4 linked regions of the Alligator mississippiensis genome follow. The protein of the gene in region 3 interacts with the protein of the main gene of each other region in a pairwise test. Links are inferred from orthologs where the notes say so. Each region holds a gene or a part of one and is shown on either strand. Other genes may lie near its edges. The genes, in order: ENKD1, C6H1orf216, CDR2 and TBC1D22B.

Region 1 (7,631 bases), on a different chromosome or scaffold from region 3:
AAGGAACGCACCTTAATGTGTACATTCCCCTTGGCCCACACTGCAGATAGGAACAGGATAGACTGACACTCTCCATGGGTCCCAAAGCAAATGAGAAGCTCCTGGTAGCCACAGAGACTGCAAACCATATTCTGTTCCCAGAGGGTCTCCTCTGCCTTGCCCTCAAACATCAGCCTTCAAGGCCTGTTTACTCTCCTGCCTCTCTGCTGACAGAGGGGCCAATTAACACCAGTTATGCTGGTGACTTGTGTGTTCAGGTCTTTTCCCTATACACTGGGCTGGCCTTCACACACAAACTGTTAGGAGCAAAGGTAGCTCATATGCTCTTTCCAAGAGGCAGAATACCCTTCAGCAATAGCCCAGAACACAAGGCAAATGGGACTTTCATCTGGGATACCAGGCAGGGACCAAGACCGATACCTGTTTAAAGAGAGGGTGAGGATGTAGGTGTGACCTTCCTAACGCTCCAAGGACAAGGGAGTTGTGTTCCTGGGCCAGAACAGGCAGGACAGCACAGCACAGGCTTGGCCACAGCATAGCAAGCAGCCTCCCTCTGCTCTGCCCCAAGGATCCTTCCCATGCAGAGATTGTGGGACCCAGCATACAGCTCTCCACTAGATCAGATGCTACAGATTCCAACATATGCTTTGTCTTCATCTGTCCACTGGCCGCATCTCAAACAGAAATGAGGGGAGGGGTTGGCTTTTTGTGGGTTCCCATTGCAGCTCCCCACTGAGGACCAAAGATAGCATTTCTCAGGGCCCTTTTATCTCACAGACAAGGAAAGGAAGGAAGCAGCCAGAGGATTCAACCTCTGGAGCATCGTTCACAGCCTAAATGACTAGCACTTGTCCCATGCAGCTCAGACAAGCTGGACATTACACAGGTGTGATTATCTCCACTCCAGACATTCAGGGTGCAAGAAACGTACATCTACTGAAGTCCTGAAAGGCTAAAACCCTGCCACTGGAGAGATCAGCCAGATGCCCTACACCAGGGTCATCAAACACGGCCCATGGGCCGGATCTGGCCCATGGAGCCACAAAAGATTCAGCCTGCGAGTCTCCAATTAACCCTGCATGCAGCACATGGAGCCAGTCCAGTGTGAGGGGTAGATCCAACACTGCAGGCACTGTTTGCAGCACAGGGGGTCAGTTCAGGGCATGAGTTGTATAAGGTATCCTTGCTGGGCCAACCCTGTGCACTAGCTTTGGGACCAGTCTGGATCAGGTTGTGCTGGAGCCAGCAGGACAGGCTATTCAGCAGGGTACCACATGCAGCTCAAGCCCTGTGCTAGCCCCCAGTGCAAGAAGCAGCACCCATGGCACTGGGTCTAGCCCATACACCATATGCCAGCCCCACTCCAAAGACTGTGTTACCTCTGGTGAGCCAGATAGACAGCACCAGAGGTACTGCTTGCCACACAGAGCTGGTATGGGGCATGTACTGCACACAGCCCTGCACACAGATAGCCTGGAGCCCAATCCTGATTAGCCTCAGAGCCAGAGTTCAGGGCCAGTCCACTGGGATGCAGCTTTATACCGTGAGCCAGTCCCCAAGGCAACAGGCAGCACCCACAGTGCCTGATCCAGCCCATGTACAGCCTCCAGCAGCATAACCCCTGGAGCAAGACTAACTGACACTAACTACAATACAAGGGCTGCTCCAGCACAAGGAATGTGCTGCATGTGACACCCCACCAGACCAGTCCTGCCCACTGGCCCCATACTGCTAGATCTAGCACATAGACCAGCCCAGGCCCAACTGGGCAGGTTAAGTGTAATTAGGTTGCAATCTGTCCCTGAGACTGAACTCTTAGCCAAGTACCAGCACTGCCACAATGCCCCTGAGGTGTTCCAGCAAACTGCATTAGAAACATTTAGTTGCTTCAGCTAACCTCTGAGGCTTCCTCTACAAGGCTCAGAGTTCATGAACACCCCAACAGGCCCACAGCTGCACTGGCCAGCTAAAACCAGGAGGAACCAGCTATACATTTTCACGTGACCATTTGATGCAAGTGAAAACCGAGCAAACGTTCATACTTGCCCTCTCCCAGCACCGGGCGCTAATGGATTCCTAAGGTACAACTGCTCACTGGTACAGGATCTCTACCCACCAGTATCCACCACCTTTCCAAAACACCCAGAAGCTGGGGATCTAACCACTCCTGCCCATAAAGATCCTATTTCATCCTCTGAAGGTCAGATGCTAGCCCCAGCTCTAGTCACAGTCTCTGCTGTTCCAGGCTCTCTGCCGGGCTGTGCCCTGTGCAATTTCACTTCCTGCCCTCAACTGGTGCTGTCAAATAGCTGCCCTAAACTGCCCCATTTCAGCATTATACTCCCTGCTGCTGTCTGTGCAGTGCTTTGAGGTGCTGGCAGAGGACAGATGCTGTAAAAACCGAAGCTGTCTCCACTCTGTTGTGCTGCTCCCCTGGCTGCAGCACCTACAGGAGTCACGGCACGCTTCTGAATGCCAGGAGGGAGCCAGGGAGAGGCAGCCGCAAGCGCAGCCAGGGCGGCTCCCCCGGCCTTTCTCCTTTAATTACTGTATAACACGCTGCTCAACTCAGCCTCCGCTCCCGCCGCCTTTGCCGCCGCCCGCCCCGCCCCGCCCCGCCCCACCGGGGAGGCCGCTGAAGCCGGCTGGTTCCGCCCACCCCGTCCCGCTGCCCCAAAGCAGTCGGTGCTCAGCGCCCCCGACCCCCGCCCCTGGGCCCCGCCGGCGGAGCCGAGGGGCGCGGGGAGCACGGCCCGGCCCGGCCCGGCCCACCGAGGACGGGGCCTGACGCAACCCCAACAGGCGGGCGGGCCTGGCCTGGCCTGGCCTAGCCTGACGCGACCCCCCGGCTCGCCGCCGCCGCCGCCACCCCCACAGCAGGACGCGCCCGGGGCCGGGAGAGCCGCGCACGCACCTGCCGAGAGCGGGCGGACAAGGCGGAGCAGCCCCACGCAGCCCTCACCAGGCAACCGGCCCTTCCGGCGCCGCGGGGGCTGCTGGGAGATGGAGTCCGGCCGGGCTCCACCGCCGCGCATGCGCAGCTAGGCCCGTGGGGGGCTCGACCCCAGCTCGCGGCCCCTACAGTTCCCCCCGCCCCGCCCGGGGGCCTGGCGGCGCGGCGCGGTGCGGCGCGGCTCTGTTCAGGCAGCGCCGAGGGGTCGAGCGGCCTCAGGGCCTTTATCAGCTCCTCGGGTCCTGCTGATATCTCCCTTCCGCACGTGTTAGTTAGTGCCCCCCTCTCTCCTCTTCAAAGGTCTCGAGGTTCTTCTGTTGAAATGCTTCTTTCTCCTGTGCCGCGATGGCAGCCCGTCCCACCTGTCCCAGCTTTGCAGCCTCTGCTTGGGCTTTAGCTCTGGCCACAAAGCAGAAGTGGGGCATAGACACGACTGCCCCGACCTACCGAGACACTGTTGTCGAGAGGCCCAAGGTGCTAGCTTTTAACAACTCTTGAGTAAATGAGACGTACAGTCAGTGTGACAACAACCAAACTAACAGCGCAGCATCTTTGCCCTCATGTCTAGTTTGTTGTCTTTTTATTAACATAATACATAACCGAGCAAACTAATGGACATTCCAATAGTGATATTTGTTCTTGCTTCCGTTTTAAACTGAATACTACAGTGCCAACCCACGGCACTAGCTTCTTGTTAACCAGAGAAAAATGTGTGCTGTATTGCACATGACAATGAGCCATGCCACCTTTTCAAAATCCCAGATCCATCTGTGGCCACCTGCACCGTGGCAGCTGGCACTGCCAGCCTGCTACACAGCTGCTTACTGAGACCCCTTCTGAACCCATAAAGGAAGCAAGGTGCCAGGGTGATCAAAGGGATGTGTATGTGTAGCCTACTTTTCCTTGCTTTACACCAGAAAGGAGTGACCTGGTTGAGGATATGTGGCATTGCAGCAGGGGAGGGAAGGCACCTGCTCCTTGAACATGGTATTGTCCTTAGGGTGGAAAGGAACCAAATCAGGACAAAAGTCTTATTTCAGGGAAAGTAAAAACTGCTACCATAACATACAGTAGCCAGAACTACCTGCGACTGTTAACACTGAGTGCTGGGCAGCAGATAAACAACCTAACAATCTTTAGGGTGCCAATGACTTTGTGCATAAGAGTACTTTAGAGGGGGGTACTAGTCTTACCCTCCGTGGAGGAAATGCCACCTAAAAGTTGTGGAACTGAAGTCCAATCCATTATAGGGTAGACTGGGCTCTTTAATTCTGATCAGCAGCCAGTCTAGGAGTGAAGCCCCAATAGATGGACAAAATGAGTAGCTATGATGCGGATTTTTTCACAGTAAGGTGGGTGAAAAACTGGCTTATGGGACGCACCCAGAGAGTGGTGGTGGATAAGGCGGTTTCTCTCTGGAGAGATGTGAGCAGTGGTGTTCCCCAAGGCTCTGTCCTTGGACCAGTGCTGTTCAATATCTTCATCAGTGATTCGGATGAGGAGATTGAAAGCATTCTGTCCAAATTTGCAGACAACACCAAACTACGGGGCTTAGTAAATACACTGGAGGGCAGGGAGCGAATCCAGGCAGATTTGGATAGACTGGGGAAGTGGGCACATCAGAATAGGATGCAGTTTAACAAGGATAAGTGCAAGGTGCTACATCTGGGGAGCGAGAATCTCCAATACACCTATAGACTGGGGGATACCATTCTGAGTACCACGACAGTGGAAAGGGATCTTGGAGTCTTGGTTGATGCAAAAATGAACATGAGTTGCCAGTGTGATGAGGTAATAAGTAAGGCTAACCACACTCTTGCATTATCAGGTGCATCACGAGCAGGTCTAGGGAGGTGATGCTTCCTCTCCATGCGGCATTGGTCAGGCCACAGCTGGAGTACTGCATCCAGTTTCGGGTGCCGCACTTCAGGAAGGATGTGGATAACTTTGAGAGGATTCAGAGAAGGGCAGCTCGCATGGTTGAGGGCCTGTGTGTAAGATCCTATGAAGACAGACTGAGGGACCTGAACCTCTTCAGCCTCCGAAAGAGAAGGCTGAGAGGTGATCTCGTGGCTGTCTACAAACTCATCATGGCGGGTCAGCAGGGAATAGGGGATACTTTGTTTACCAGGGTACCCCTCGGGGTTACTAGAAATAATGGCCACAAACTAAAGGAGAGTAGATTTGGATTGGATATCAGGAAGAAATTATTTACGGTGAGGGTTACCAAAATACGGAATGGGCTTCCAAGGGAGGTGGTGCTGTCCCCTACCTTGGAGGTGTCCAAGAAAAGACTGGACAAGCACCTAGCTGGGGTTCTTTGACCCCAGCGCTCTTTCCTGCCTAAAGCAGGGGGTTGGACTCGACGATCTACAAGGTCCCTTCCAACCCTAGAAATCTATGAAAACCCACTCTCTGGATGTTCTCCTTTGCTCCTTTGGATTAAACCAGCAAGGCTGAGAGGGGGACACTGGTGTGCAGACAGCTCAGTGTCTCCATAATCACTGCCCAAGCTTTTGCACCCTGGAGGGGTCACTCCAGTTTTACTTTATTTTCAAGTGAGGATTACCTTCAGCAAGCTGATGTTCCACTCGGCATAATTCTATTGCTTTGCAAGATAGATGCCTACTAAAAACAGACACTGCATTTGAGTTGCATTCTGATTGACCAGTGTCAAAAACTGGGAGTGGTATAGCCCTTTACACTTGCAGTCTGGTAACTAAAATTCACTAAATCATGCTGGGGAAAAATATTCTCAGGCTTGTCCCTTGGATGAGCCAGGATTGTTCTGGGGAAAAGTTATCTCAGATACTTCACAGTTACTTAAAGTTGAATAATGGGCTTGTAATTCTGTAGGATCTGAGGATCTCAAAAAGGCTTTGTCCTTGAAGAAATCTGATTTCTGTGGGGAAAAACAGGTGTCATGTTTATCCCAGGAGAAATCTTTTTATTCTACAGGTGTACAAGCCCATGGTCCCACTTCTAAGTACCTGCAGTGTATCTGAAATAACATTTTTTTGCCTGAGCAGTCATGGCTAATTCAAGTTAATTGTCATCAGCTGCAAGCCTGGGATAATCAGAAACAGGATAAATCAGTTTTTACCTGAAGTCATCAGGGATGCTAAGGCACAGCCCCAAAATTTGGAAGTCTTCTGCCACATTCAGGATGGTTGGTTGCATTGAGACTGTCAAAAACATTGTAACAGGAGAAATATCCCCCCTCCTCCAGCCTCCTGTTCCTCTGGTCTTTGCAGGGTCTTTTGTTTATGAGTAAGTCCTGCCGACACATTTTAAGGCCTCTGTCACATATTTATGGCTTGATAGCTCTGAGGCTAACTATATGCTCAGGATACAACCACAGGAGAAAAACTGCAACCTTTACTGAAGAACATTTAAATGGATACAGAGGATGAACAGATTTTGATTTTTGCCTGCAAGGGGACTCCAATCAGGCAGGGTTAGAGGCCCTGAAATCCCATTCCCAGTTAAACTGCAGTAGCTCAGGAGGTATCAGCTCTCCAGCCACAGCAAATTATAGCAGGAAACAAAAGGCAAGAGGCTCATTTGCAGCAAGTCCAGATTGTGTGACTGGAACTTGAGTGATTCTTGATGTTCACAACAGGCTGTGACTGTTCTGCAACCAGCTTCCTATGAGATCCCATGTGATTAACTCACAGCACGTGCCAATATCTCTGGCTTTTCAGGATCAAATGCTCTGATACTAGCTTCTATTTTCCCCTGGGAGGTTATTTGCAGAGGAATTAATGACACTTGGGCCCACAAATCAGGCCTTAATTGTTGATGCAGTCTTAGCTGCCCTGCAATTCTGGTGGCATTTTTGTGCTTAAGATCATTTGTACACACACAACTACAGGTGTAAAAACTGAGACAGCACAGCAACAACAACACCGATACCAGATGGAAAATGCCATCCCCCTAAAATGTTTTAATTGGTTTGTGACAGCAGAAAGCATCTCCCAGGAATGCTTCATTAATGGCCCCTGCATGGGAGAGAGCCTCTTGCCATCCCTGGAGGCTCAGCGATAGCTCCTTCATAGCTTGTGGACCCTTCCTATTCACTCACCCCTCACTGGTATCTGAGGACCTTTGCTACCTTCAAAGAGCTACAGTTACCCACATGCCCTAGCTGGGACTTCTGACTGGCTGAGCGGCCTTGGGAAACACCTTGCTGGGGCATACAAGATTGTAACTAGCCAGTGGGGGGGGTCAATGCCGATGAGAAGGGCTGGGGGGAGGGGGTCACTGGTGGTATGAGGAGTCCAATGTTATCTAATAAAATGGAAAAAAATATGTAACTACCTGGTGACCCCTGCAATAATAATAATCAACCTAGCAGCTCTATCCTCCACTTGTGCTGATCCATCATGGGCTTGTACCACCCATTTGAGCTGGGCAAGGGCTGAGAGAAAAACCACAATACAAAGAGAGAGGCTATTGTGGCAGCATGGGGCTCTGTCCAGTTCTGTTGGCAATGGCGAGGGAGGGGCGGGCGCGGGGGTTAGGAACCGCCTTGCTTCATAAGCTCCTGAGCCTTAACCCTTGAATGCCAGATGCTGCAATAGATGAGGGCAAATCTCTGAGGGCAACTTGTAAACAGCACCTGCTGCTGTTCCTGCTGCTACTTTAAATCTGTCATCAGATGCCATCAGGAAATCCT
Region 2 (7,390 bases), on a different chromosome or scaffold from region 3:
ATAAGGAGCAATGCTCGGTCTGGATTAACGGGCCTAAATAGACATCATCACACAGGATCTCTTCCCTGCACCAACCAAGCCAGGAGCATGAAGTCAGCCGTGCAAAACACTGTAGGCTGCAAGAAAAAAGCTGTGGGAAACAGTGGGAAACAGTTTAAACTTTGTCCCTGTTGGTGAGGCGTATGAAGGGAACCTGTGTAAATTTGAAACACTTTTGGTTACTTCTTTTAATGTCTGTTCACCTTCCCCAGTGGAAATCCTATTACATCCCATTGGATTATTTTAATAGATCTGTGCAGCTTTCCATTGGTCTCTGACTTTTCAAGGATGCCAATAGCACCAGTAGGCCTGCTCCTTCATTACAAACTGGAACCAGTGGAAAAAAAAATGTCAAACTAGAATTCCTACCAGGGTTATGAATAGAGATGGAGGAAAGCTTAGTGCTAGAAATCACATGCAGGAAAACCCAGGAGAACAAGATTCCCTCCCCAGGAGACCAGACTGCTTAGCTACCCCTTTTTTCCATGCAAAAGTTAGTGGTTGAGTGGGAATAATACCAGTGTTGATGGGGAGTGTTTACTGCATGGACTGTAACTTGGGGACGTTTCCCTGGCCAGCCCTGCCTAAGCAGGACTGCGATTTTTAGCAGGCTACCCAAAACCAGCATTAGTTGTTTTACCTTTGCCATTCCTCAGTGAGGTAATAACCAATATATCTTGGATGGCAACTCCCCTGACAGATCAGATGTAGAGGATTCACAAAAGCGGGTGTTTGCTAAAGCAATTGGGAGAGTTTTCTCTGCATCAGTCCATTGATTTAAGGCACTGAGCTGCAATTTGGGAGAAGTGGGGTCAACCACTTCCCTACCACAGACCTTGGGTGAGTCTTCTAGCCCCTGTGAGCCAGTGAAATGGGTAGGGGGGAATAGTACTACTGTGCTGCATAGGAGTGCTGTGAGGGGAAATGCACTAAAAGCTATTTAATCAGCAAGAAAAGTGCCACAGAGATGTCACTCCAGGCTCAAGCTGCAAATACCCAGAGTTTATAGGTGTTTGAAAGCCAGGATTTGGACTGGACGCAGGCAGGGGGTGAGTCTGGATCTAGGTCTGGATATCCCTAAATGTTGGAAGGAATGCCTACAGGGCAAGAGGTAAGGGTGCCTGAAACACAAGGCAAGATGAAGGGGCAAAGCTAGAAGGAAACAGAATCCAATCCTTGAAGCTGCTGGTGCAGGAGCAATCCCAGGAGGGAGAAAGAGGAGCAGAGAGTGGAGCTGGGGTGAAGCGTGGGGTGTCACGGGCTGGCTTCGTGGGCCTGTGTGAGTGACAGGCCTCTCTGGGACTGAGGACCAGCTGCAGCCAACTGCAAGTGCCCCCACTGGCCTCAGGGAAGAGAGGTCTGTGCCCTCAGAGGCAAAGCCCTAGCTCAGCTCCCCAGGTACCTGCTTTACAAGAGGGCTACAGCTCAGCTATGGCCTGCAGCTCAGCAGAAGCCACTGCAGCAGCAACAGGACCAAGTGTATGCCCCAGCCTCCTGCTACAGGGGATGGACCCTCATTGCAGGATGACTGCAGCATACGGACCATGATCCTGTTCCTCTTCCCCTCTCCCCCAGTGTAGACCAGGATTAGTTGCACTTAACAGAACGGAGCTACACTGGTGTAGGACTGGTCCCAGCGGGAAGAGGAGGCCCAGTGTTTTCAGGGCTACTTGAACGGGGTCACTTTCACCTGTGCTGCACCCCATGACCCTGTCCCTTTAAACCTGGATTCCAGTATGGTTGCTATGGTGAGGTTTCCATGGCAAGCAGAGATGTGTGTGTGTGTGTGTGTGTGTGTGTGTGTAGCAGCAGCAGACAGCATGATGTGCTGCAGCGTGGTGGTAGCATGTGATGGATGGTGCCCAGAGCCACAGGGGAGAGTTGTGCTGTCCCCGTACAAACATCACAAAGCTCTGCCTTGCAGCGTGCCGGCAGGGTGGACCTCCCCTTTCTCTCGCATGCCTAGAGTTTGGGGGGGAAAAACCACACAGCTCCCCAGACTTGTGAGCTCTGCAAATGGTTTAAGGAAAATGCAAGGGAAAGGCAACGCAGAGGCAAAGGGGTTCTAATGCTCACGGTAATCCCTGCCAGGAGACAGAGAAAACAGATGCGATCAGGATTATGAGATTGTTGGAATCACTGTCCCAGCACATCCTCATGTGGCCACTGAGCTAACCTTGATCCTCAGTTACGGCAGGGTCCCCTGTACCAGCTCATGTGGCTGTAGCAGGCTCAGCACCTGGGCATTCAAAGGGGAAGGGGCAGGAGGGTTTATCATGCCTACGTCCAAACTTTGTGTTTTGGGGCAGGGGCCAGGGGGTGGGAGGGGAAGGGCATGTGTGGTACAACAGTTACCAGCCACACATCCCTAAGATGGCACCGAGCAAAAGCCCTGTCCATGCTGTGGGACCCTACAAATAAATCAATGAACGCTTTGCAAATCAGAAACCCAACAAGCACATGCATATGTGCACACATGCACACATGCACATGTGCTCATGCACACTCTCTCTCACATACACACACACACACACACACACACACACACACACACCAGGCCAAGCACAGGTGGGGCTGGGGTCCTGGTACCATCTGTGTGAGCAGAACAGCAAAGTGCTGGAAAGTCAGTAGAAACCCCCACTCCCCCCACACACACCCTGTCAAAGGGGTCCAAATGTGACCATGGGGCTGTGCTCTTTGCCCTGTGCCTAGCACCGAGGTGGGGAAGTAGGTGACTTCAACCCCTGGCATCAGGTTATCTCCTGCCACATACCAAATACAAACAACCCCCCCGCGTAATGCACACACTTACCAAGGAGGTCTTGGGAAAGCAAAGGTGGATTTCTCAGGCGGCTGCTGCTGCTGTTGCTGCTGCTGAGCTGGAGAGAACGGAAATAGTCCTCACTCCAGCAGCAGGAAAGCGTCATGTACTGCATACTTCCTACAGCAACCGGCGCTGCTGGGAGTGCCCTGTCACAGGATGATCAGCAGGCAGCAAGAAATGCAAGGCAGCACCTACGGCCACCTTAGCACAAGCCTGGCACTGTTAAGTGAGTGTGTGTATGTGTGTGTGTGTGGGGGGGGGGGGTTAACAGAGCCTATAAAAGATGATCTGTCTCCCTAGCGATGGAATCAGCTTCCCTGGAAACAACACTCAGCCAGGAGATCAGCCCTCGGTAAGTAAAGAGATGCTCGTGCTGTGCAGAGGAACCTGCATTGAGCGTCCGGCACATCACCGACTCACACTTCAGCAGCAGCAACTTTGGAGGGCCTGCCTAGAGGCAGCTGTAAGGAACCTGATTTTCTGCGGGAGAGTGGCTTAGGATTTTCTGAAAATCAGGCTGCATTAGAGTCGCCCCGGGGAATCTGAGGCATCAGAAAGCCACCAAATCACTCTGGAAGATTTAGCTCTGATCAGGCTGGTTGGTAAGTGGACAGATTCCCAATACATTATGCCCTGGATTCCCCCTGGATTTGTACAGGGCTGCACATGATGAAGGCCTGGTCTGTGATAGCTGCTTCCCTGGCATTACCACAATACAAAGGAATGAATAAACAGACATATATTCCTGGCAGCAGTCTTGCTAGCATGTCAGTGGTATGTGACCCCCGCACCCCCAGGCATGTGCAAGGGGTCAGAGGAACAGTCGCAGTGCAATTGGGGGGGGGGGGTGTTCCATGTCTCCAATTGGTTTTTCACCAGACCAAAACTTGAGCCTGATCCATCCCCACAGCCTCACTCACTGCTCACCTGGTGTGCTTGTCATAACCCTGCCTCTGGTGTGAGACCCTGTCAGTCCCTCTGTCTTTCGTGGGGCCCAGGAATGGATGGGAGTGTGGAGCTAAGCAGTCGGAGGGGTGCAGGTAGAGAAAGGAAGCGAGGTGCTCTCACCTCCTAGCCTTGGTTGTACCAGTGCGCTCTGAGACACCCGTGCAGCCAAGCTCTGCTGCTGGGAACGCACACTTGATGGTAACTTCCAAGTACAAAGCACGTGGGGAGATTTTAGTGGAAACCAGGGCAGTTGCAAGACCTTTGTTTAGAAATTGCTATAGCTGGTGCTGGTCCAGCTGAACTAGAGCATCAGGCCTTCTCTCAAGTAGGACACCTGGCCCATCTGAAGCCCCTCTCCCTTCACCTCTACCATGGGTGTGATGGGTTGAGGCAATATTTCAAGATCAAGGATTTCCCTGCCCATGGCTTATCATGAAGCTCTGTGCAGAGAGCATCTGGTCAGTGAATGTCCTGGACTACAGCCATGTTTTCTTCCAGGGCCTGGGGCATAAGATCTTTTTAATAGAGAGCCCAGCAATGGGACTGGCTCTGATCCTCTTTATAACAGAAGTCTGTGGCTTCTCTGACCTGGATACATGAGGGCAGCAAGAGGATGTGAAGCTCCCCTGTCCCTTGGGCTGGTGCAGAATCTCTGAAGGTGCAGACAGAAGTGCCGCTTCCTGGTCTAACTCATGGTGCTTCACAGAAAGCGCCATGAGTTAGACCGACCCTCCTGACCCAAAAGAGGTTAGGTGTTGGGTCAGTGGGGAGGGGGGGTCAAGCTCCAATTTGGAGCTGATCCAGAGAGAAAAGCTGCAACTCTGCACCCTCTTCCCCTAGCCCCACTACCCCTCTCCTGGCCCCTGGTGCTGTCTCAGGCTGGGAGAGGGAGAAGGCAGGGGAAGGAGTTGCATTCTGGGGTTTCCTCAGACTGCACTGGAGTCAGAGGATGGATGAATTGGATCCCCCAACCTTGGGGGCATCCAAGCCACCTGCCTTACCCTCCAGCACTGACTAAGCAACAACCAAAATGAGCTCCCTACTCTCTCTTCCCCCTCCCCCATTCTGAAAGCACCCAGCATGCACAGACAGAAGTTAATGAAGGCACTCCTGTTTGGAGCACCTTCATCTGAACCCTCATGTAATGAGAGTTCAGATTGTTGCGGGATCAGGCCCTTTTAAAGTGTTCTGCAGCCATGCACTTGTGTTAGGACAGGGCTATAGAGTACTTTCAGGGGCCAGATGGGGCAAAAATTGTCATTGTCTGCACCCTGAGTCCCAGGGCAGCCTGTCCCATCTCCAGATTAAAGAGCCCTCCACAGAGCTACATCTGGATATGATGCTGATGCCCATTGGCTGTATGACTCCCATCATTAAATCTCCCTAGTGGTTAAGAGCTTTCTCAGCCTCCCTGGGCACTCCCTTGAAAACCCAACTATCTTTCTAGCTTAATTAAAGGTTTCAGAAGACTTCAAAGACAGAGAATTTGCCACCTAATAATGTAGTTTAATGGGATCTGCAAGCTACTCTTACCTACCACTTTTGCTGTAACATCAAGACCGGTGGTGTACTAGAATCACTCTTTTCTCTACAAATACCACAGTAAGGGGCTTGCGATGAACAGGCAGTGGCTGGGATTTTAATCATGCTGCTTAGCTGGCCACGCACTGGTGAGAGAAGCTTCCCAGAACCCTTTTGGGCAGGTGAAAGTCCTCAGGTTGATGAGGCCTCTCTGCTATATTCCAGATTTATTCGGAGTCCCAGAAAAACTCCAGTGGAGAAGCAATGAGGCAAAGCTACAAAATGTGTCCTGGCTTTTGGCACAACATGAGTCTATGGGGTACCTGCCTGGTGATTAAACCTGCTAAACCTGAAGGAAAAGAGGGACATGTCCCTGCACCACCACCTGCTACTGGGTAATGAGTGGACGGTATTGGCAAAACGTCTCTGGGGGTCTAACCCCAAACACAGCCTGTAGCCCAGCAGATACCCCCTGTGTGCATGTGTATGGGCATGTGTATGAGGATGCATCTCACCCAGCAACACATTGAAGACAATTTTTCATGAACAGAACAGCTCCTCCTTCTACCTCTTCCCAATCCCCCTGATCAGTCCTATGAGCTTTAGGCTACCCAGACTCCCCCGTGGTACCTACCTCACAGTCCATCAGCTCCTTGCAGAGCGCAGGGAGGGGGCTATGGATGCAGCTTTCTCAATAGACCTTTTATCCATCTGTGCTGGGACTTGGGGGTGTCTCCAAAGGTTAAAATAAAAAGCAGTAGCACATCAAACAAGCAGGGATGAATGCAAAGCCTGGAGCAAGAAGGTCACATGAAGCACCACAAACACTTTGGGCATAAAGGGGCATTGTCAGGCTTAATGCCAGGATGAAGGGAAAGAGCAAATGTAAGGGGTTCTGAATGGTTTGGATGAAGTCAGCATGTTAAGCAACATGAGTCTTGGGGGTTGGAGAGGTGACAGGGGGACAAAAATGTGCTTCACATGAACACAAGGAGGGTTTGTGTTCCTCCTTTCTATGTTTATCCCCCTTCAGCTCCGGCCCCAAGCAGTCAGCTGTAATATTGATTTATACTTCTACCTCTCTGGGGCAGGGGATGTGTCTTTGTTCTGTACAGCACCAAGCACCATGAGTGTCCCAGCCCTGGCTAATGTCCTCAATCCTACAGCAATACAACCCTATCACAGCAATACTGCTCGTTAGGGCTGGCCTTTTATTCTATTTCTAAGGTGCCCGGCACAACAAAGACTCCTTGAAGTGGGGTCCTTGGTGTTACGAACAGGCTACAAACAGATGTTGCATTTGTCCTGGGACAAGTTGTGCCTTTGGTTGTCCCAGAAAAGAAAAGTCACAGGACTGGCATGTATACACGTTGCCCCTCCAATCAGGGTTTAGTGAGTGGGTGAATGCACTGCTGCTTTTCTTTCATTGGTCCAGTGATGCAATCCCGGGACATCTGCCCTTAGGACAGAACAGTCCCATGCACCGGTACAGGTTGGACCGACTGGCTAAGCAGCAGCTTTGCAGAAAAGGACCTGGGGGTTACAGTGGACAAGACGCTGAATAGGAGCCAGCAGTGTGCCCTTGTTGTGAAGAAGGCTAACGGCATCCTGGGCTGCATTAGTCAGAGCACTGCCAACAGATAGAGGGAAGTGACTATTCCCTTCTATTCAGCACTGGGGAGGCCACATCTGGAGTACTGTGTCCAGTTTGCCCCCCCCGAAAGGATGTGGACAAATTGGAGAAAGTCCAGCAGAGGGCAACAAAAATGGGTAGGGGGCTGGGGCACATGACTCATGAGAAGAGGCTGAAGGAACTGGGTTTATTTCGTCAGGAAAAGAGAAAACGGAGAGGGGTTTAAATAGCAGCCTTCAGCTACCTGAAGGTGGTTCCCAAGAGGATGGAGCTGGGCTGCTCTCAGCGGTGGCAGATGACAGAACAAGGAGCAATGATCTCAAGGTGCAGCAAGGGAGTTTTAGGTTGGATATTAGGAAAAACTTTCTAACTAGGAGGGTGGTGAAGCACTGGAATAGGTTACCCAGAGAGGTGGTGGAGTCTCC
Region 3 (7,415 bases):
GTCCTAAACCAAACCATGTTTTTCCACATCTTGCTCTGTAGTACCTATTGCTGTCTACAGCTTCAGTGATTCTGTAATCCTTTACATAAATTACAATCCTACTTAAGACTTTCTAATTCCACACAACATACTAAATTTAGCTGGTCATCAGCCATCTTTATTAAAGCCGTCCAATAACTCATGCTATTTTTGTTGCCTTAAATGTTGCTAAGCATACCAAGGTATACTTAAGACTCAATGCTTCAGGCAAGTAGTACGATTCTATTAAAGACACGCAACTGCATACATAACTTGTAAAATGACTTAAGAGCCAAAACCAAGTATTTAAAATATGCTTAAGAGATCTAACCAATTGAGAAGAAAGTATTTAGAAAACTGGAAGGAATGAAACCGTGCATGTAATTTCCTGTTAGTGTGTAATATTGGTAGTGTGATATTTGTGTTTACAAAGCACTCTGAGCATGAAGCAATACAAAAGGAGTACAGTACGATTCCATCTTTTATTTAGATGCTCATGCTACAGACTTAAATGTAGTCTGTTATTTTGGCAGTTCCAAAGCAGCATTCATGTTTTCCTTATGTGAAAAATTTGCTATTCTTGACAGAGAAGAAATTGGTTTCTATATGATAGGCAGAATCACTCAAATGTGAAAGTAAACCTTGTCTTAAAATAAAATTTTGGTCTCATCTAAAACTAAGAGCATTAAGTACTGCAGAAAGAATTTGCTTTCCAATGTGCTGATTTTAATTACATTAAGGCACTGATAAGTCTTGGTTTCAAGAAGAGCTGAAAGTGTTCAATGCTTTCAAAGGTGGTTAGGCTACTAGTGCATGAATTAAAGGGTGTTCATTTTTTAAATTAATTTAATGTGACGTATTCAGACACTGCTTTTGTTAACATCTAAGGGAATTTGGAGAGGTAGGTTTGCCACGTTAGTCTGAAGTCAAGCAGAAGGCAGGGTAGATTTACACCCTATAGACAAACTAAACCAGAAAAACAGTGTGAGCTTTCATGAACCTGACCTCACCTGCAGAGTTTTAGAGTTTGGCTGGTGACAAAACTATGCAGCCTGATATGTTCCTTCAGAGTTCAAGGTGCAATAAAAGCAAGTGTGCAAGTAAACAACAGAATATAGCTAACCAGCTGAATAAGGATAAAAACAATGAAAGACCATCTGAAACTTCAGTGTAGTACAGAAGCTTATCTTTCTGCATTCCATTTTATTTTGTGATCTTGAATACATTTTGGCAATATGCTGGTTAATATCTCGGTCAGATATTTAAGAAGTTCCCTTTTCACCATGAGAATAGTCCCTGAACAGTCGTGAATGGCCAATACAAGTTTAGTCACTTTACACCTTGTCCCTGAAAGTACAATATGCAAGCAAGATTTTGGCAGATCAGTCTAGATTTGTTAGGTTTAACTGTTATGTCTGGAAACTGCAGACTTGGAAGTCCTGTTCTCCCTAAGCAATCATCTCTTCATGACACTTGTACAAACCTTGCTGAAGGTGTTATTACAACTGGGCAACCAAACATCAAGATAATGTTGCCAGCGTCCTGCTCCTACGTTTTAATAATCCACCCAAGATAATTGTGCAGTAAGTTGTGCCCATTCCTTTCAACAAGAGATTATTAAGCAATATGGTATACACTGATTAGCCCTTGTGAATATTTAGTTCACGAGCCTTACTTCTAAACAAGTCTTAGAAGAGTCTCTGAATTGTGCATTTATTTTTCATTTTAGGTTGTGATCTAGTCAACACTTTGTTGAAGCTGGTGGCCATTTTCCTAGCATGCATGAATTTTTTTCAGCAGGGCACCAAAACATATATCTGATGTAGGAAGTTGCTGTTTACCATTCTTGAATCTCCCAGCAAACAGAAAAGTCATTTCCATACTTTTTTTCTTAATAAAAAGGGACTAGATATTAAACTCCATTTCCCCCCCAGGTGAAATTTTCATTGTTGTTAGGGTTGGAAGGGACCTAAACAGATCATCAGGTCCGAACCCCTGCCCCAGGCAGGAACGAGTGCGGGGTCATAACACCCCAGCCAAAACTTTGTTTTCTTCTTGGGCACAAGAGTCAAAGATGGTAGACTCTGAAATTAGATGGTTCGGGCGGGTTTTCAAGTTGTAAGAATTAATCTTTTAAAAAGCTACTCTCATGAGCGTTGGCGTTGTTGTTAAAGTCTGCGCTTTGGGAATGCAAAAAAACCCAGCTCCTTCTTATAGGCAGATAAATATGAATAAAAGAAAGAGCTACGTTTTTCACGTTCCCGGAACATAGACTTGAAGAGCAATGCCAAAAATCACGAGAGTTGGCAACCCTTGGTTGAACCTCTCCCATCCCAGCGTTGATGTGGGTCAGCCTGTGTGGCACCTAATGGCATATTAGAAAAGAAACTAAGTAACGCGCTTCTGTTAAATACACAGACGTTATTCTGCCAAATCGCCAAGTAAGGAGGGGATGCTTCCAAGCGCCCCGAGAACTGGAGACAAGGGAAGGCTCGACACCACATCCCTGGTCCCGCAGCATCAGCTTCTAGTGGTTTTTCCCCCGCGTTTCTCCGGGGCGGATCCTAGTTCATGCCCCGCAGGGAAGTTTCTGAAGGAAGCCCCGGCGCGCAGGTGCTGTGCTCGTGCCCAGGACGGCGGGCGGGCGGGGCAGGACGGTCCGCGCGGCACGAGCAGGCTAGGGGAGCGCAGAGCCGGTCTCCTCCTCCGCCCCGGCGGCCCTCGCAGGTGCGGGAGGCGGCAGCTGCTCGGGCGCGGGCAGCGGCGGGTGCCGCCGGCGCGGGCGGCCTCACCTTGCTGCAGGTCCTGCTGGTCGTACCACGGTTCATCCTCGCGGAGCTCGAACTCCTCCACCAAGCTGTCGGCCAGCATCGCGCCCCGACCCGCCGGCCCCGACGCTCCCTTCAGAGCTGCCTCCGGACGCTGCCGAGCGGTTCCGGACGCTGCCGAGCGCGGCGCCGGCAGGGCAGAGCCGCCAGCGGCGGCAACGTGGCAGCGGCAACCGACCTCCCTCCCGAGAGCAATTCAAACCCGGCTCGCCCACCTCGCGGCGCGCAGCCAATCGTGCGCCGCGGCTCGCAGACCGACGGGAACGCGGGCCAATCACGCGCCGGGATCTTCCGCATCTCCAATAGGCTGCGGGGTGGGGCGCACGACGTCCCCGCCCCCGCGGTTGTTGCGCAGGCTCCAGGCTGAGGGAGGAGGCGCGCGGTTAGTGCGGCGGGGGGCAGGCGGGGTTGCCATGGCGGCGGGGCGGTGTCCGGGGCTCCGGCGTGTCGGGGGCTAGGCGAGGTGACAACGCCCCTCGCTACACAGGCAGCTCCCGGGGCTTTGTTTCCCTGGCCGCCCCGCTGTGCCCCTCGCCTCCCCCATGGCCCGCAGCCGCCTCCCGCTTTGGGAGAGGGGGCGTCGGAAGGGCCAGGCGAAGCCGCCTGGGCTGGCCCCGTTGGGGTGCGGGGGCCAGGGGAGGCCGTCCCTGAGAGGAGGCCCGAGCGGCTCTTGCGGACCCCGCGCTGCTGCCGGCCTGTTCGCGAGGCAGCGCGGCGGCAGCACCCGCTTGCAGGAAGCAGGAAGGATTTGTGCAGGAGCAAAGGAGATTTCCCGGGATGGGATCGTGCAACCCAGTCGCTCTCCTGTTCTGGAGGAGGATCCAGGGCAGTCTGTGGGTCCGATGTGATGAGAGTCGAGTGTAACGTGAGAGGGTTCCCGTAGATAGTCTTCTTTAGAGCTCACTTCTGAAGGCAAAGGCTGCTATGCAGTTTGCAGCCCACCTAATATTGCAGAACCTAGTATGTTGTTGGTTTTTTTTAAAGACTCTGCAAAAAGCATGCAGTGTTGCCTATCCAAACATCCGGAAATCATGAGCCAGGCTCTTTAAAAAAAAAAAAAAAAAGTATGCACAAAAACCAGCAGTGACTCACAAATGCTTGTATTTATTTCTTTGGCTCAGGTTAACTTTGTGCCTGGCTGACTTTTTTTTCACCTTGAGCGGGGAGCATCTGCCCCTAAGGTTTGGATGCCCAACATGATTGCACAAGTATAAATTGCCTCTTACTGGTGCAAAAAAAAAAAAAAAAAAGCAGGCACACTGGAAACCCCTGTAGCGGTGCAGCTTACTAGAACATGGTGTAAAGCTACCCCAGGAAAAAAAATGAATAAAAACAGGCTGGTGGAAGTAAAGTATGTTTGCAATTATCCCAGGGTAGACTGCTCAATGCACGCAGGTTATGATGTGCTCATCTTCCCACCTAGTGATTAGGTGCTGTAACAGCAACTACTTCAGGCTAATTCACACCATTGTACAAAACCAGTATAAAATAAAGACGCGTTAACACATTTTGGCCATGTCCAGATGTGTGTGAATGTTTGGTTCCCCAGGGACAACTAGCAGCAGGATACTGTGTGGGGTTGCTAGCTGTCACGCGTGCTCTGGCACAAGTTACCCATGGCGGGGTAGGGGAGACTGGGGGCCTGCAGGGGCTGCAGTCATGTTACTTCTGCCATGCAGAGCCTGGCTGGCAGCAGAGCACAGCTCCAGCTTTAGGTGGCTCCCATTGCCACCGTGTGTGCATATCCAGGGGTCCAAAAAAACCTCCACGCTGCTCTCTTGCAGGGAGGAGAACAATTGAATGTATAGTATGTGGTGCCATGGATGTATCTGGAGCGCCACATACCACGTGGCTACACTCCACTTTGTGTCCAGCTAGAAACATTTAACTTACTGCTTCTGGAGAGCTGCTACTCTGTACCATCTGTAGACAAGCTAGGCAGCTGTCTACTCATACTCTATGCAGGTTTCCTGGACTTTGTGTGGTAACTAAAGGTCATCATCTTCCCCAGAAATGCCTATCTTCAGCCATGCCGGGAACAATGAGAAGTGATAGTTTTTGCTGATGGCAGCCTCCCTTAGTTTAAAAGGATGTGGAAATCTTGCTGAGGGCAGCCTGTGGCTTTAGTCTACCAAGAGTGAGTGGAAATTAATATTTACAGACAGAATTTCTAGTGACTGAAGGGATAAATCAGAAATTAGCAAATATTCTTTAAAATATATATTTTTTGAGAATTGGTGTGCTATGAAATATTGAGGGATTGCACAGCTTTCTTAGGAAGAAATCTGAAGTTGTGCTAATGAGGATATACATATGGTTAGGTGGATTAGAATGAGCTATTAATACCAATTGATTTTCAAAAGAGAAAAGTAATCTAGCTGTTCACATTTGTATGTGAAAAGTCAGATACAGTGAACAATGTAAAGCCATTATACAGAATTTATTTGGAACATGTAACAAGCTTAAATTTAAAGTTGTGTCTTTTTACTATTGCTACCTTTAGTCATCTTTTCATTTAATAATATAAGCAGCTTCAAAGGGCCATGGAGGCTTGCTTCTTTCCATTTTCCACCTCATCCCAACTGTTCCTTTGTTTCTAACTTGAATTAGAAAAGAATAATTAAGTGTTATGCTAAATCAGGGATGTCAAAAATCTGGTCTGCAGGCTGGATCTGACCCATGGAGCCCCATCATCTAGCTGCTGGCCCTGGGTCTTGAATTCACCCACCCAAATGGGTGGCACACGCCAAATGGACCCACACACAGAGCACACAGCTTCAGGACTAGCACTTCACGGAGCATCCATACGGGGCCAGTTTCTGAAACTTCCCACCTCACCCCCACAGTGTGATGGGGCCACCTATACACTGCTTAAGTTAGAGAGTGCTGAGCTAAGAACTCTGCATGTCCTTGGCTGAACCCCATAGGGATGTTTCACATGCTGTGTGACTACAGAGCATAATGTTTAGCTTCAGGATGCTTTATGTAAATTTCTAGTTTTGTAATATAAGACTAGTAAGGGAGAAAACAGAGATGAAGAAGATTCCTAGTCAAAAGTAATGGTTTCTGTTTTGTCTTTTAATTATTTTGTTAACTGGAAGTTTGCTTCCACATTGTTTTTTATTATTAACGTTAAACTAAAAATGATCATCGTGAATTGGTTTAAAAGAATGTGTTTTAAAAACATTACTGAACTAAATTTGCAGCTTATTACATATTGATACCTCAAGGTAATCCATCAATATGAATTAAATTTATTTAGTCTGTTTTTCATTTAACAGTTTTTAAGCTAATGAAAGAAAGAGTGATCTGTAAAATATCTGTGGTTTGGGGAGCTGGATTTGCACTAACATAGATGTAGGACTGGGTTATGCCACTTATGATAAAAGTTCCCTTTATTTTTGTTAGACATGTTCTATTGGCATTTAAGCATTGCATATATATTAAGAAATGGTATTGATAAATTACTACTGTAGCTGTTTAGGTTTGTGCTCATGGTCCAATAATCTTAAAAGTTTTGCAATACATTTAGAAGTAGAAAAGAGACTGAGAATGAAGAAATCCTTGAATACAGATTTGTGGGACCCCAGCCTGCAGCCCTGACATGGGCAAATCTCTCTTGGTTGTCCCCAGCAACATGGAGTTGTTCTATGTTACAATATGCCATCTTGTGTTGTTAGCAAGTTTATAAATATCAGGTAATGGTACTTATCTAATTGTTAACTTTTTTTTTTAAATTAGAAGCAGAAGAAGAAACTATCACAATTTGGAAAATGAAGATTGTTTTAGGAATTCATCCTAATGCACTGGCATATTCCATGACCACATTAGGTGCTGGAATGATGAATAGTATCTTTAATTTCTACTATGTTAAGCTTTTCTTAAACCAGTACAAGATTTCAGAAATTGCCTTTCATCAAGCTCAGGTACAGTATGTTGGAACATTGATTTTATTAGTGTTGTATAACATTTATATGGCACTGAAATAATTCTGCTTTGTTTATGAATTTATTGTTGCCCTACTGAAATATTTGATTTATCATAAATTAAAGATGCACTAAGTGTACATTGTTTATAGCTTTTAGTTTAAAAAAAATAAAAAAAGCCTTTATGGTACTGAAATAATGTTTTCAGTCTAAATGGGATTACTAATGTACTTAAAATCGATCATCATTGTGATGCTTCAGACCCTTCCTCATGTGAATAACTTTTATTTACCTGAAGAGTCTTGTTGAGCTCAGTAAGGTTGCCTATGTGCTCAGAGTTACTTGCATGTAAGTGTTTGCTGGTCTGTGGCTTACAGCCAGAATGCTTATATTTTAATGAGAGTAGACATCTAAGCTTTTGAAAATCTGACTAGGCACCTGTCCACATTTTTAGACAGTGAACTACCTATAAATATTGGTTTCTGGCAAGCATTAGTTCACCCCCCCAAGTAAAATGAAAAATTAAGCACAATATTTTGAACGTCTGTATTTATATATCAAAACATCCTCTGTTAGAAGAGCTGGGAAATAGTTTCACTAACTCAGGGGTGGGTAGTTAGTTTGGCTGGAGGTTCACTTTGGT
Region 4 (7,136 bases), on a different chromosome or scaffold from region 3:
GGAAGGTGTCTGCCCCTCTGGGAGCAAAGAGCCAGGCCAGCATCCATCTCACTGAGGCAGAGCCTCTAGCTTGCTCCTTTCCTCCTGGCCCCATATACCTCCCACTCTCAACTGTTCAGGGGGCCAGCTTCAAAGGGAGCACTGGAGAAAGACCTAGTTAATGCCTGATGTGCAGCATGGTGATTGGAGCCCTGTGCTAGAAACTGGAGAGAGGCAGCTCCAAGCCCCTCCTGAGTGAGGTGGGGTCTCTTACTTCCTGGGCAAGTGGCCTAACTACTTGTCTCCTGGGGCCCTCCTGCACCCACTAGTCATGGGCTTTTGCCAGGTAGAATGTCATGATTTCTGCTTACCCAGCATACACGTGTATGTACCGATCTAATTGCATCCCTGCCTAGACAATCAGTGTGTAGCCTACTGTGTATGGTCAGTAACATGTGTGTGTCCCCAGTGTATGAAAAGCAGGATCACAAAGTATGCATCAATGCCAAAAATGGCAGCTACATGGCTGGAAAACTGTAAGGTGAAACAGGATTCTGCCCTAAACCCACAGATTTTCAAATACAAGTGCTTCAGACCTGGAATCCAAACCCACCCTTAAGCCCTGATCTTTTACATTCTGCAAGAGGGTTCTGTGCGTGATTTCAGAAAAGCAGATTACTCACAGATCTCACCAGAACCATAGGAGCTGCGGCTTTCAGTGCCTCTCAGAAATCAGCTTGACCACTTAGGTGCCTACATACCATTTGGATGCTTAATGCTCAACACACCAGACTCCAGAAACATATGTGCTTAACTTTATGCACTGTAAATTGACTCTGCGACTTTGGTGGGAGCACTCAGACTGAATGGAGTCATTTTGTAAGGTAAGCACCTTAGTTTGAAAATGATAGCCCTGTTCACTACCAAATTTAATCAGGTTTAATATTAATATTAAATTAATAGCATCCCATTCTCTCAGTCATTATTAAGCTCTGATAGTCTTCTATTATTGTCATTATGGTAAGAGTCACCAGATGGCACTGTTATACACATAGTCTCATGTCATGAGTTCCTTTTACTGGTGTGTAAGCAGTGCAGTCTTGGGAAAAATGTTCTGTTGTTAGATTTGTAGTGATATTTCTTTTTGGTGGTGCTGTTGCTAACAGTAGTAGAATTTGCACTTACTCTTCCTAGAGTCGATGTTTATGCCAGCGTTGTCTTCAGGGAAGTGGGTTTTGATTTTCTTGTTCAGATTCCTGAAGCAGTGGATTAGCTTGCATGGCGTTTGGTCATCTTTGTACAGGGACAGTCATACATAGACACCTGTTGGAAAGTATTTGTTGAAAGAAACTTTAGTGGGACATTGCTCTTTTTCAAAAAGAAAAAAGGTAGAGATCTCCAAGTGTCAGACACATTTCATTGAAACCATTTTTTAAAATAAGTTTGCTTTTTCTTTTTTTCCACAAAAACCAAACTATTCAGAGGAAATTTCAGTGAGAAAGAAAAAAAACACAACATTTTTTAAAACATCTCCAAAAACTATTGATATATTAGACTAGCTCCAGTGCAGAGCGTAAACCAAAAAACATCCCTGAATCTGCATCACTGATTTCTTTTTCACAGTGAAACCAAACTGTAAGGCCCTGCTTTGTTACCATTTCACAGAGAGCCAATGCTATTCAGAAACATTTCTATTATGACTTAAAAGCCTCACCTGAGATCAGGACTTAGTGATGCCAGGGGCTGTACAAAGAGCAAGAAACACTCCCTACCGCAAAGAGTTTGTATTAAAACTAAATAAGACAAAAGGTTATAAAGAAAACCAAAGCAGAGATGGGTGAAGCAACGTTTTTTACCAGGGAAACTGGCAGAACCAGGAATATCACCCACATGGGTGGATCTAAAATTTTTAAAAGGGGAGTGCAGATGGTGCAGTGCATCATCACATCTAACCCAACAACATATTTTTTTCCAGTTAAAGAGAAACTAGAAGCTTTATTAATATGACAGGGGCTAACACTATATTATTTGGTTTAAGACCAAGCAAAAAACAAATACAGCTCTTGGAATGTGCATTAATTTGCTAGAGTATATATAAAGTTTAAAACTCCAAGGGCTATCAGATCCCAGTATAAAGATTCATGTCTATCCAGAATTGGAGGAAAAGTTCCCAGCAAAGCATCTTGATGCCCATGTTGCTGGGGTCATCTGACCCCAGTGGCTTTTCCTGCCCAAGTGCAGGGGGCTGGACCCGATGATCTGTAAGGTCCCTTCCAGCCCCTACCATCTATGACACTAGGCAAAAAAATAGTCACAGGATACTGTATTGTCAGTCCTGTAGTCATTACAGTTAAATGCGTGTCTTTTATTCAGATACATTACAAAAAATAAAAATCTAGCCTTCTTGAGCGCCTTGACAATGCCTCCAATACTTCACTGTCATTCGTTTTTCTACCTCCGTGTCCATATTACCTCACCTGAGTTCAGGTTTTTAGCTAGAGCTGAAAACAGGCTGCGGGGCTGTAAAATAGGAGAGACATTACCACAGATCCTGGTTTCCTCTGATTTAAGATAATCCCCAATTTTCAGTTAAAGAAAGTAACCCCACATGCCCATTTTTCCGTGAGTTTAACAAAACACCATCTATATAGAGATATAGATATATATAGAGAGAGAGAGAGGTGTGTGCACATATATATGTGTATATGTATATATATGTGTGTGTATATATATATAGATGTGTGTGCATGTATGTGTGTGTGTGTAATGGTGTTTTGTTTTAATCATAGAAAAATGTGGATTTGGGAGTTACTGTTTTTTAACCGAAAATTGGGGATTTTTTAACTCAGAGAAGCCCAGGGTCCCTGGACATTGCCAGGAAGTTAGGCAGCTCGCAAAGGGAAGACGTTCTTCCTCAGGTGTGAAGACCGGAAGCGGGGCGCAGCTGCCCAGCTTGCTGAGGAACCACGTCTGCCATTCGGACGCTCGTCCAGCTTTCTCCCAGCGACGTAGCTGGTGCAGTAACAGAGAAGGCCCTAAGAAATCCTTGCCCCCCGTGTCGTTTCGGGCCCACCAGGGCTACAACGTCTCTATTTCACTCCCATTACCCGGACGGGATAACAGACAGCAAAAGCGCAGAGGAACGGGTAGCTGTGTTGGTGGGACGTCAGGACCATTGAAAGGGACGGAGGTTGTTCACCCCGGCGGAGTGGAGAGATTAACAGGAACCGGGAGAGGACAGAGTCAAGGGGCTCTCTCAGCCCCTCTCAACAGAAACGCGGCGGTGGCTCCTGCCGGGCGCTTGGTTTTAAACATTTGGGTGGAGCAGAAATCAAAGGGGGGCCACGCAGCTCCCGATCACCCGCACAGGCTCCTGCGGCAGCTTCCCCGGCGGGCTGCGCAGGGCCCGGCTGCTCTGGGGGGGCCGTTAGAAAGCTTAGGACAAGGCCCCACGTGCAGCGAGGCTCACGTGGCGAGTTCACGGGCCAGCGCAGTGGACGTGCAGGGATCCGAGCGCCCCGCGGACCCACCCCACTGCGTCCGCCTGGGCCTCTGCCCCTCCAGGCTGGAGCTGAAGGGGTTAACTGCAGAGAGCCCCCTCTTACCCACCCAGAAATAACAGCCCCTTCCCCTCAGGGGAAATGGTTTAACCCACTCCATCTCAAACAGCATTCCACCCCTCTTCCTCGGGGCGAGTGGTTGGACCCATCCTGTCTCCCCCCCCCCCCCCCGGCAGGTTATTTAACCGCAGCTCATTCCTCTCCGGCGCAGGTGGTTTAATCCGCTTTCCCCCTGCACTTGGTTTAAACTGTGCCCGCCCCTTCTTCCCAGGACAGATGGTTTGCCCCTTTCCCAGCTTGGTTTAAACTCCTCCTCTAGCAAGTTGGTTCCTTCCAGACCACTTCAAGGATGGTTCGCCCCACACGCACCCCGCCCCGTCCTCCTCTGTGAGAATGGCTTCGTCCTTCCCTTCCCGCAGATGGTCTCTCCCGCCTGAAGCGAGAGGCTCCGCCCTTTCTCCCGTGCCCTCGCTTCACGTCCCCGCAGCATCACAGCTCCGCATTGGCTCGGCGGGAGGCGCCCGAGCCGCGCAGCCAATGGCCGCGCTCTGCCTTCCCGCACCCAAGATGGCGGCGCCGGGGTCGGGTCGCGGGGGCCCCGGAGGGAGGCGGTGAAGCGGCCTCGGCCCGCGGCTCCGGGACCCGCCGCCGCGCCGCTCCCGCCCGGGGCCCGGCCGCGCCATGGCCGCCGACAGCAGCAAGCAGTTCTGGAAGCGGAGCGCCAAGCTGCCGGGCAGGTGAGGCCTGAGTTGCCCCCGGGCCGGGCCGGGCTTCGAGGCCCCGAGGCGCTCCCTCCTCCCCGCCCGCGGCCTTCCCGGGCCCTCGTGTGGCCCTGTGTGCCTCCCCCGCAGCCTCCAGCACCGCAGGCCTGGGCGCTCCCAGTCAGGCCCGCAGCCCCTTGGCTCCAGCACCGGGCCCGGGCCGCGGTTTCCACGGGGGTGACAGAGAGCGGCCTCGCGCTCGTCGCTCCGTGCGCCCACGACGCTGCCCTGCCGAGCGCTTCTCCTCCCTTTCCGACTTGGTGTCGAGAGATCCGCCGGCCGGGGCCAGGCGAGCCCGAGCCCCGCGCTGCAACTTCCCGAGGGTGGAGGTTTGGGAGAAGTTGCTGGTGGCACACCGCCAGCCTGTCATGTCTGTTGCAGAAGATAGGGGTAGCTCTGTCTCTCGCGTCTTCTGTGCAGTGATCCTTTCCCGGCCCTGCAGCATGGTCCGGGCACGATCTCCAAAAAGGAGCTCGCGCAGAGAAAGGGAAGTTTCTTTTACAATCTGCTCGCTTTTGGGATCTTCCCTTGCGCGTTCACTACCTCCGCCTCCATCTTCCTGAGAGGGAAGAGACGAGCCTTGAAGCTTTCTGTAGGCGCCGGGTGCTCGTGGCGGGGTAGTTCGTCGGGACCGTACCCTTTCAGAGGCATCCTTATTCCCGTCTTAGACGCGCGGGAGGGGACAAAGGTGTGGAAGGGAAGCGAGTTGCCCGCTGTCACCTGCCCGATGCAGTCGAGCCACTCATTGCTTTTTCCTGTTACTAACAACACTTCCAGCTGGGGCTGTGGGGAGTCTGAGCCCGGCCATGTCTTGCTGAATAGGAGGAACCTGGTTAGTTTCCCTCGTGTCCTGCCCAGTGGTTTATCGAGTCCTGCTCTAGGGAGAGAGGCTCAGCAGGACACCACATTGCTTGCCCTCCATGCGTAGGGCCTTACTATTAATAATAAAAGTGGGTTATGCTGCTCTGTGGGAGTAGCAGCGGCTTGCTTTTTGAAATGTCGTTGGCAGGCTTCTAGGATTTACTTTCTGCTGCTGCATTGACACTAAACAATTCATCTCTTTATATGCAGTAGAGCGGATGGACCGCAGCAGAGAGCTGCTTTGTGTTGAATTGAAAGAGACCCTGCCTCAAAGAGTTTTTGTATCTAAATTTCAGTAGGTGAAGGTGGAAGGAGGGAAGAGACAGATGGACAGTGACTGCTCCAAGGTCACCCAATAGGTCATTGCCGGAGTTGGAGCAAAGCCTAGGTGTCTGCTTCTGGTCCAGTGCTCTCCTCACTGATCCAGTGTCGTCCGCCAGTGGAGGAGAACGACCAGGTGAAGCTGACTCAATCCAGAAAGAGGACTTGCGCAGACTAGTTTCACTAGCCAAACTGAGCTCCATTTAAGAAATCAATAGTGTCAGAGGTGCTGAGAGATCAAGATTAGTGTATTCTATAATAAATGTGGGGGATTTTTAATGATAGTCACCCCCAGAGCCACTTGTCCTCTTTCTGCCTTGGTTTGCCCACTTGCAGTAGTGAGGATGGGCTAGCCCAGGTTTGCATGCTGCTTTCGGATCCTCTGTTGAAAAACTTAATATCAGGCTTCTTCGCCTGATCAGGCAGTGGGGATGAAGTTTTACTCTCAGACCCTCCTGTGTAAGCTGCTCAGCTCTTTCACAGTCTTGTTCAAGCTTTTGCTCTTCATGGTTTCTGATGTCTAAGCCAGCCAGCAAGAGCTAAGTCAGCCACATAAATGACTCATAAAGCTGTTTTTTACAGTTTTTTCTAATCATATCCACCCCTGGTAGCTCTAACCACTACCAAGTAGGAAACAGTCACCTACACTTCCTTCAAAAAAAAAAAAAAAAAGTTTGCAGTAGGGCTGTAAGCAGTCAGGTTGTGTTGTTAGAAGCCTGCAGAGTTTTCAGCCACATCAACTTGTGCTTATCAGTATGTTCATGACTTCCTGGGTAGAGGAGAAGCACAAAGAAATGGAGCGTTTGCTGGCAAGTGGAAGCTTGTGCGATCTCCAATGTATCCTTAGAAGTTGCCCCACTGTAGTTTCCTCCCTGTGAGCATTGCTGGTTCTCTTTTGCTTTGTTCTGTCCTTCAGCCTGTCTTTAGAAGGACAGCCAGGGCAGGGGGTTATCCAGTGAAGTCAGTGGCAGAACATGCCTGCACGCACGAGTTGTATGGCACCCTCTGAAACTCACTGTTGCAAGGAGCCTGCATCCAGTTCAGGAGCTGCCTGTTCAGAGAGGCTAAGAAATAGCAGGCCAACACTAGAGGCTTTTTGAGTGGAGTAAGATGATATGGGCTATATTGCCAGAGGTGCCTTGGGTGGGGATGATGCTGCCATAGTAGAGCGCACAGCTTTGGGCTCTTTTAAAGGACAAACATTGGAAATCTGAGCCTTTTCCAATATCTTGTGTTAGGCCAGTCTGTTTTGGATGTTCAGGCCTGCCTTTCTGAGCATCTCTCACTGCCCAAGGGCACCAGAAAGGGGCTTCTTGCTCCAAGGTTTAATCTTAAGAGCACTGGGTACTTAACAGATCTAGAGGTAGGATGCCTGAGTTGGGGATTAATGGTCTGTTCCCCAAAGGACTCTAGCATTTATTCCATTCTAGCAGCCTCCCATTAGGAGCAGAGGAATCTTCCGTCCTGTGAATCCAATTGTTGTGTAGAGGAGCGGGCTTATAAGACCATACAAACCCCACTTGGGCTTTGAGAGCAGCTCAACTGCCTCCCCCAGGCAGCTCTAGCAAAAGCTGCCCTGGGCTGTTTGCAATCTGTAGCACTGATCTTGTTTTACTCTCGATAATCAACTTGTGATCAGTGCCCACATGGCCAC

What was found.
Region 1: the proteins of CDR2 (region 3) and ENKD1 interact in binary tests that used the Homo sapiens proteins (3 or more experiments, as listed by UniProt). The two-hybrid records come from large-scale screens. The link is inferred for Alligator mississippiensis from reciprocal best matches to the Homo sapiens genes CDR2 and ENKD1.
Region 2: the proteins of CDR2 (region 3) and C6H1orf216 interact in binary tests that used the Homo sapiens proteins (3 or more experiments, as listed by UniProt). The two-hybrid records come from large-scale screens. The link is inferred for Alligator mississippiensis from reciprocal best matches to the Homo sapiens genes CDR2 and C1orf216.
Region 4: the proteins of CDR2 (region 3) and TBC1D22B interact in binary tests that used the Homo sapiens proteins (3 or more experiments, as listed by UniProt). The link is inferred for Alligator mississippiensis from reciprocal best matches to the Homo sapiens genes CDR2 and TBC1D22B.

What each region holds. Positions count from the first base shown.
Region 1 is NC_081833.1:34,730,123-34,737,753, reverse strand, and holds the start of ENKD1 (enkurin domain-containing protein 1), read right to left. Parts: upstream 3,020-7,631; 5' UTR 2,915-3,019; intron 2,531-2,914; exon of another isoform or gene 421-2,530; intron 376-420; exon of another isoform or gene 1-375. UniProt on the Homo sapiens protein: Microtubule-binding protein which regulates microtubule organization and stability. Promotes the stability of astral microtubules and facilitates the proper orientation of the mitotic spindle.
Region 2 is NC_081829.1:8,811,359-8,818,748, forward strand, and holds the start of C6H1orf216 (UPF0500 protein C1orf216 homolog), read right to left. Parts: upstream 3,021-7,390; 5' UTR 2,852-3,020; intron 1-2,851.
Region 3 is NC_081836.1:46,674,268-46,681,682, forward strand, and holds the start of CDR2 (cerebellar degeneration-related protein 2), read right to left. Parts: upstream 3,006-7,415; 5' UTR 2,890-3,005; coding exon 2,811-2,889; intron 1-2,810. Other genes in the region: transmembrane protein 180, read left to right, coding at 6,620-6,772.
Region 4 is NC_081837.1:35,933,308-35,940,443, forward strand, and holds the start of TBC1D22B (TBC1 domain family member 22B), read left to right. Parts: upstream 1-4,123; 5' UTR 4,124-4,220; coding exon 4,221-4,276; intron 4,277-7,136. UniProt on the Homo sapiens protein: May act as a GTPase-activating protein for Rab family protein(s).